Canis lupus familiaris: one gene and its partner. Each later gene encodes a partner of the first gene's protein in a complex. Links are inferred from orthologs where the notes say so. Each region holds a gene or a part of one and is shown on either strand. Other genes may lie near its edges. The genes, in order: KPNB1 and PTHLH.

Region 1 (3,818 bases):
TTTGAAATGCTGGGAATCAGGTGACATCAGAAATAAGGTTTGACTAATACTGTTCTTCATAAAAGAGAGGAAAATTGTACTTAGTTAACATAATGGAAGTTACGTCCTCTGAAAAGATTTAAGGAAGAAATGGTTTTTGATCACCCTTGCTACTTAATTGCTGTAAGTTATACAAGTGATTGTTTTTCATTGTAGCCATTGGAATAGGTTTACTGTTGCTGTACTTAAACCTGGATCCTCCAAACAGATGGGACTAACATCTAGTCTGAATAGCATTCCTGAGTTTAGCCCTCCACAGGTTCCAGAGGCACCTTTAAAGAGAAAAGAAAAATAAACAAGGATGGTGAAAAAAATTTTAAGAGATTAATTTTAAAGAAATGTTGACATAACCCAAATGTACCTCAGTTGGCCCTTTAGATTACTGACCCATTTGTGTGATGTAGTTCTCTTTGTCAGACTACATTATTAATCCTTTTTTATTTTATTTATTTTTATTTTTTTATTTTTTTTTGTAAAAGGTACGAGTGGCTGCCTTACAGAATCTGGTAAAGATAATGTCATTGTATTATCAGTATATGGAGACGTATATGGGTCCTGCTCTTTTTGCTGTAAGTATTTCTATTTTATGTATGTTAGCATGTAGCTAGTTGCAAAGCCCATCATTCTTGATGTTTTGTCATTTCTGTAATTTTTTACTTAGTATTACGAAACCAAGGAAATTCCTTGAGTCTGAGTGTTATGTTTAAGCCATCAGTAATGTGCCAAGAAGACTTGGGCTTCCTTTGTGGTGGGGAAGAGTATATTTTTAAAATCTATTTTCTGTTTCTACCTTTCATTCAGACCTAGCTTTCATAAATGTACATTTTTGACACTTGAATGTCTGTGGTTGGAAGTGCAGGTCTAACTTGAACCAGCACTTACTTGGTGTCTGGTATGTCATTTTTTTTTTTTTCTTTCCCTCGAAAGATCACAATTGAAGCAATGAAAAGTGACATTGATGAAGTGGCCCTACAAGGGATAGAATTCTGGTCCAATGTGTGTGATGAGGAAATGGACTTGGCCATTGAGGCTTCCGAGGTGAGCCTGGGAGAGAGTTGGTGCAGCAGGAGAATTATTTGTCTGACATAGCTCCCTTTTGGGTATTCAGCTCCTCTGAGAAAGCTTTATTCTGCATGGGCTTAGAGGGCATCTCCATTTGTAGAGCTTTTGCTTTCTCTGCTAGCCAGAGCCCCTCAGGAGGGAGACAGACCCATAATGAGGCATTTCATGCTTTACGGATCAGTCAGACGTGATTTATTATAAATGTTGATGTTACTACCATGAACACAAGGGGGCAGCAGGCAGTCACAATTTAACAAGGTGACGTCCAACGCTGAGTTATTTCCTTTTGGAAGTCCTCATGCAAGCATGGGATGCATAATTGACAGCTTACTAACTCTGGTGAAGGAATTCATTATAGACAAAGGGGCTAGGTCTGCACTTTGTAATCTTTGAACTCAAGCTTTTTTTCCAGCCTTAACCGTCTTGCACACTTTTAAGAACCAGTTTTATTTTTGGCATCATTACGTAAACTTAGTACATCTCTTGATCCAAAGGTTAGTTAGATGACAGCTTCTTAATATGAATCGAGCTTGTGAAAAAGGAATGTAGTTCTTAAGGTTGCCTTGGTCCTTTAAGGTAGAAGATATGTATGGCCTAAAAGAATCCCATTGAAGTAGACCAAAGAAATGAGCGCCTCCAAAGATCACAGCAAATGTTACATTTGCTCTGTGTATTTCTGTACAAACCCCTGGGCAGCTCTCATTGTATGCCTCTAGTACCAGCCTGTTTGCTGCTGTCCAGAATTTGCTTTTATGTTTCTCCTCAGGCAGCAGAACAAGGACGACCCCCTGAGCACACCAGCAAGTTTTATGCCAAGGGAGCACTACAGTACCTGGTGCCAATCCTCACACAGACACTAACTAAACAGGTGAGTTACCTCACAAATCTAGCCAGGGTAAGCCATGAGATATTATTGAGAGTTAGTTTGCTGTGGAACAATTTCCATGAAGGAACTCAGCAACTCTTTAGCTGGTTCATGTTTTGTTATAGATGACTGGGAAGAGCCGAGCTGGATCTCTTAAGATCCTCTAGGCTCTGGGTTGTTTGCGAAGGAGAGCTGGGTCTGGATGTTTCAGCCTTAGTTGTGAACAAGCTACACACGCTGATTCCTGAGTGCTGTACCATGTCCAAAATAATGCAGGAGACATGTGCTATAAAAGTTGGAGTAAAGAACGGTTAGCAAGAGGTATGTGGTAGTTTTAGGCCACTCAAGTATCTGCTAATATTTGGATTATTTTCAAGAGTTCACAGTACGTATATACATTTAAAATCTTGATGAGGTTAGAGAAGAATTATTCTGGAGGTGCCTGAGTGGCTCAGTCTGTTAAGCATTGAACTCTTGGTTTTTGGCTCCGGTCATGATCTCAGAGTCGTGAGATCAAGCCCGCGTCAGGCTCCATACTTGGTGTGGAACCTGCTTGAGATTACCCCACCCCCACCCCCCGTCCCCCTGCACATGGGTATGCGCTGTCTCAAAAACAAAACCAAACCAAAAAAAAAAAAGAGTTACTCTGATTCTTCTGTGATCGTTAACATCAATGAGATTCAGGACAAAATAAAAATAACAGGACTTCATGAAGATTTGAGTCTAATGGGTAAATATAGAAATTCTTTTATGTGAAGTATATCTTGGTTGTCATTCTCTTTTGACTTTAGGCATCAGAGTTTTCCTTGGTATGGTGTTCGGAAAGATTCTTCGGTATAACAATCTCAAAAGATATAAGTAAAGATGTATTTGGTTTGAAATGGACTGGGTGTCCTCTCATTTTCATATCCTGGTTCAGTTTTACAGTTATTTCTTGTGTCTTTCAATCTCAGTATCTTCACTTTTGTATTGTGGTTTTCGTATTTGGAAACAAATCGTTCTTTAGGTATGTAATATTCTGAAGCGGCATAAGGCAACCTGCTTTTTTTTTTTTTTTTAAAGATTTTATTCATTCATGAGAGAGACAGACAGAGACACAAGGAGAGGGAGAAGCAGGCTCCCCAAGGGGAGCCTGCTGCAGGACTCAATCCCAGGACCCTGGGATAACGACCTGAGCCAAAGGCAGACGCTCAACCACTGAGCCACTCAGGCACCCCAAGGCAGCCTACTTTTGAATTACTAGGTAATACGGGTAGCCACAATAAGGAAGATGAACCTTGAGTTCTAGTTTCAGGGGAGATCTGAATGGAATCTTTTTTTCCGTTTAACTTCCTGTTGAACTGTAATAAGTCACTAGCACACCAGGAGCCAGGAGCCACCTCATGCCTTCATCTTCCTCATTCATTCCCTCCCCTTTACCACCACAGATTATTTTATTGATTTTGGACTTCATAGAACTGGAATCATACAGCATATCTTCCTGTTCTGCCTTTCGCTTTCTATATGTTCAAGTTTCATCCTTCTTGTTGCACATAGTGAACTTGGTCCATCTCGTTGTATAGTACTAAGTAGGACTTGCCTCCGTATGCATCTTACTTACCAAAGGCTATGCTGTGATGAATCTTTGTGGAAGAAATTAAAATATAAGGGTTTTATATTATATTTATATCCCTCAAACTTAAGTTCCAATAACATTTGGGAGTAGTCAGAAGACCTTTTGAGTTAGTAATTCTCTTTTTTTGAATTACAGTGATTATTTGAACATAAATTTAACTAGTGCCAAACTCTCTTGTCAGGATGAGAATGATGATGACGATGACTGGAACCCCTGCAAAGCAGCAGGCGTCTGCCT
Region 2 (4,376 bases), on another chromosome or scaffold:
AGGGAGTTTTGGATTGAAAAATATTTAAACCTACTGAATCCTCATATCATATATTCCACTGAACTCTATTATTCATTCTCATGTCTTTAAAAATAAACAAGCACACAATACATACAGAAGGTGAGTTGTACTATGTGTTTGGAGTCTAGCATGTAGGCCTTGTTCTCAAGGTAATCTAAAGTAAACCTACTCGAGACCTGCGAAGACATATAGTCAATCCCACTGAAAGCACTTTTCCCTAAAACCTCACATCCCCTTTAATTCACAAAAGAGACTTGGCATCTTTACTACCCTCTTAGAATAAAAAAAAAGGAAAGATAAAGCACTCTTACTAAAGTTATCGAGAGTAGCCTGCCTTGTTACAGAATCCTTTTTCCCCTGTACCTGAGGAAATGAGGGATTTTGGTTCAGAATCAATCATAAACTTGTGGCAAAACAATGTCATCCTGGAGATTGGAAGGTGAGTCCTGCCTCCCAGGCCATTATTACAGGGACTAGACCCCACCTCTACTATGCATGCTTGCACATTGGAGATAGGTGCCCTTTCTCCAGTTGTAAGATAAATATTTAATTCTGTAAGGATAGGAGTCTTTAGGTTTGCACAATGATACATAGCTTTAAGTTAGTGGAAAATAATTTTGGAAAGCAGATCTTAGTTTCCATGTCATAAAAATATTTCTTTCTAGTATTTTGTCCTGACAGCTCAAACAAATATAATATGAGAATACTACCTGTGGCTTATTTTTTTTTCTTTTGGTTTCTAATGCTGAATTTATAATCTTCTCTTACTTTGTGCGACCACACATATTTAAAATTCCTGTATCAATTTGATTCACTGCCACATTTCCTTCTGTGTAGAAAAGGAAGTTACAGACCTCAAATGGCTTTTACATTGTCTGTGTGATAAGTATACTAAACATATGGGATATCAGATGCCTCATTTCAAGGCTGCTCTTGACATTGCTGCTGTTAATGATTCTTCCATTTCCATTCCATACCAAAAATCTATTGAAAGGGTGAAGGAAAGTGGTGAAAACAGGCACTCCACAGATGCCAGCAAGTTTCCCAATTGGCTAGGATCACTACATCATTCCAAAAGGGATGACTGGGGGTAGGAGTTGGGGTGGGGGGTAGAAATAAAAACAAATTTTGGCAGACCCAAGTTTAGAAGAAAAACAATACTTTCACCGAATTTAGCCTCTGCTCTCTGTCATAGAAAATTATAATAAATACAAGAGAATTGCATTCAATTTTGGTCAAGTATTATTCTTGGAATATGCATTAGTCAGAATTGGCCTCATTAGGAGGGCACTTTTTGAACAGCTATGTAGTGGTTCACAAAGCATGCAGACTCCTGAGAGGGTGTGATTCGAAGTTTAACAAGCTCATTTCAAGCTTGATAACATTTACATTTCAAACAAGGATTCAAACCAGGGCTTTGCTGCTTTACATGACCAGAAGTAGAACAGAGTACATTGCCACAGAAGCATGCAGTGACATTATCAGAATTGCCAGAGCCCACTGATTACAAACCTATCTATTGACACCACAACTAGTATACTAGGCTGCTTTTTTTTCTCTTCTTCGTTAGTCAACAACTGAACCTATAAATGCATTGAATTCACATATCAATCTACAGTGAAGCACATGTTTTTATTTTGCTTCCCTATTTATAATCTTTATTTTGAAAACAACAATTGTGGTTTGGATTTACTATGAGGCTGAATGTTACACATGTAAAGGCTCATAATATTTTTTTCCGGAGGCTCTTAAATCATTTTTAGCTATATTATCTGATTTGCCATCATCACATCAGTGTAAAAGTAGATACAGCATACATTTCCAGATATATTTAATGGATGAAGAAAAGGAAAGGAAGAAGATTAAACAGTTTGCACACGCTTACAGTAAAATTTAGGGGTATTTGGTTGAGGTAAAACTGGACTGCGGAGTAGATCTAAAGAGGCATAGAAGAAAATCTTATCTACTTTTCACTCAGGGCAGAAAGACCGAGCAAACTAAACCTCTACATATCCTGTATCTTGATACGAATGCAAATTCAGAAATTTGGTAACCCAGAGCAAAGAAGCCAATAGCTTAGAAATATCAAATCTATTTACCTGGAGGAGGTGCTCTGGGAAGGATATCGCAGCCTCAACCTAAGAGCAGAGATATTTCTTTCCAGCTGGTTTGGGCTTCTCCCTAAAAACACTGTTGTTGCCCTTTACTTCTACAAAGTAAACAAAGAAACATTCGCACTAGGTGCTGCCAAACTGTTTAGATCTTCAAAACTGGTGCTGATTTCAACCCTAGCACGGAGGTACTTTCCTCTCTGACTCCTTATAGAAGAAAGCTTGACCTGGGTGAAATCACTAGAGCTTCTGTTGAGATTTGAGGAGCATACATACATACATAAGCTTGCTTAAAGCTTTTTGGGTTCCTCTGAGGGAGTAAATTATCAGTGAAACTCGGTTCCTTTACTGGTGCTGATTTACATAGCCTTTCTCACAGAATTCTAGCATTCTCGCCTCTGGCCCAAGTCAGGAAATGCCCAGGTGCGTGTAACTCAGCACTAAAATTAACATCCATGAAGCTTTTTAGACCTCACATATTCGAGTTCAATTTCATTTTGGTAATTAGGTTTCAGGCAGGTTTTTATTTCTTTTGAACCGAGTCATCTAGCCCCGAGTTTTCATCAAAGAATCTTGGTTAACTTTGATTTTTAATTCTCAGACACCCAACTCGTTGAACCACCCATCCTGACTCAATACCCTGCTATTTTATTCCATATAAGGCCTTGAAATGTACTCACCTTACTCAGTGAAAATCCCTCTGGGATGGGAAGCTGCCAGCACATTAGAAATGTGATCTAGAGTCGCTCTGCCCGAGGTTGGTCATATCCAGGTTAGAAGATATCAGGTATAAAATGAGAAAAAAATATTATCTCCCAGCACTTATCAGACCATCTTCTTATAAGACTTTTTCTTGTTTAGTTTTTTAGTTCATTTCTTGGTTTTTCTGGAAAAAATGCTGCAGTTATGTTGCTCCCGCAGCCAAAAATCTGCACTTAATTGGGCACATAAAAAAATAGCAGACAGGAAGTCTATTTCCTCACAGAGAGATATTGTGGTTTATGGACTCTGCTTTCGTACTGCAAAGCCAGTGCATTATTTTATTTTTTAATACACTCCTGGTAAGATGTCTCTGGCAACCCAAAAGCTGTTTAAGTGCCCACCAGAATCAGTATCAGCCCAGGTAGAGCTACTTGATTACCAAATATTAGTTTACTCTGGGTTTGATTTTGAATCAGTCTCAGTTCTTGCATTTTTATGGATGCTAGAGAAATCGAGGATTTCATATTTGTGTATGCACTAAGAGAGTTATACATATTTGTGAGAGAGACCGCAGCATCCCACAAGCAGGGCTGCATTGACTCTCCATGAGTTCTGGGAAAACATTTAAGTTGCCTGTGTAACTTCCGTGGCACACACCCTCAATCCACTCCCCTTGGGAGCCAGAGAGCTTCCTGAGGTCTCTCAGGTTACAAAGGGGAAGGAAGCCTTTATCAGAAGTTTGAAGATTCTTACTTTTCAAGTTGTCTTGCCATCTCCTCAGCCCTATCCTTTACATTGTTCTTTAGTCATGTTAACCTCCTGTATTTGACTCATAATAATTACATTTCTGAGAATACTGAAGATCTCAGAGTTTTAGAGTCCAGCTTCCCCTTGACAGACGAGGAAAGTGAGACAAAAAGGAGTTCATGATTTTCTTTTTTTCCAAAGAGACATGAGACTCCAGTAGCAGAGACAGGACTAAAACCAGATTTTCCCCCTGACACCACGCTGCCTTTCTGCGTGAGTGGAGAAACAAAAATGAAACTTATGTTCTCTTGTCACTTGGTTTAAGCCATAAGACAGGGTACATTTGGTTCTAGGCACTTTCTATTTACTTGTCATGGGCACAATGCCTCATAATTGGGAAGAATTATATAAGCCCCAATTCTTTCCTAGGGCATGTGAGAAACTGCCATTTGTTTTTAGCAACCTAGTGTCATAAAGTTAGTGTGGGCCTAATCCCACCTAAAAGTTAAATGAGAGCTTTTGTGTAATTGCCTTGCCTTTTAATTCAGACTAAGCCACACGTAATCAAGTCTTTCCCTAATACCCTGGCTTTATAGAAACCCAAATCCATTGGTTTGTACAGGTATCACTGGCCTCAGACTGCAATTCTTTAATGCTCCTGGTCAACTCAATCCCTTGAGGGGATTTATGTCATGCTGGTGTTTTCACGTAGTTCTTTGTCTGGGACTAATTTTGACACTTTGCCTGCCAGAGAAGATAAAACTTGGGGTCTTTCCCCAGTCGCTGCCCTGTCCA

The links.
Region 2: the proteins of KPNB1 (region 1) and PTHLH are in contact, whole or in part, in a crystal structure (PDB 1M5N), measured with the Homo sapiens proteins. The link is inferred for Canis lupus familiaris from reciprocal best matches to the Homo sapiens genes KPNB1 and PTHLH. Residues at the interface, in NP_002256.2 of Homo sapiens: Val55, Tyr104, Pro106, Gln111, Glu152, Tyr156, Gln159, Asn196, Leu199, Asn200, Gln239, Glu274, Gln278, Glu281, Asp288, Ile295, Ser298, Glu299, Asp339, Asp340, Trp342, Val350, Met353, Glu395, Trp430, Arg434, Glu437, Asn469, Trp472; in NP_945316.1 of Homo sapiens: Tyr103, Thr105, Gln106, Glu107, Thr108, Asn109, Lys110, Val111, Glu112, Thr113, Tyr114, Lys120, Thr121, Pro122, Gly123, Lys124, Lys125, Lys126, Lys127, Lys129.

Annotation. Positions count from the first base shown.
Region 1 is NC_049230.1:23,964,467-23,968,284, forward strand, and holds part of KPNB1 (importin subunit beta-1), read left to right. Parts: intron 1-518; coding exon 519-608; intron 609-966; coding exon 967-1,077; intron 1,078-1,867; coding exon 1,868-1,969; intron 1,970-3,762; coding exon 3,763-3,818.
Region 2 is NC_049248.1:26,878,376-26,882,751, forward strand, and holds the start of PTHLH (parathyroid hormone-related protein), read right to left. Parts: upstream 3,045-4,376; 5' UTR 2,813-3,044; intron 1-2,812. UniProt on the Homo sapiens protein: Neuroendocrine peptide which is a critical regulator of cellular and organ growth, development, migration, differentiation and survival and of epithelial calcium ion transport.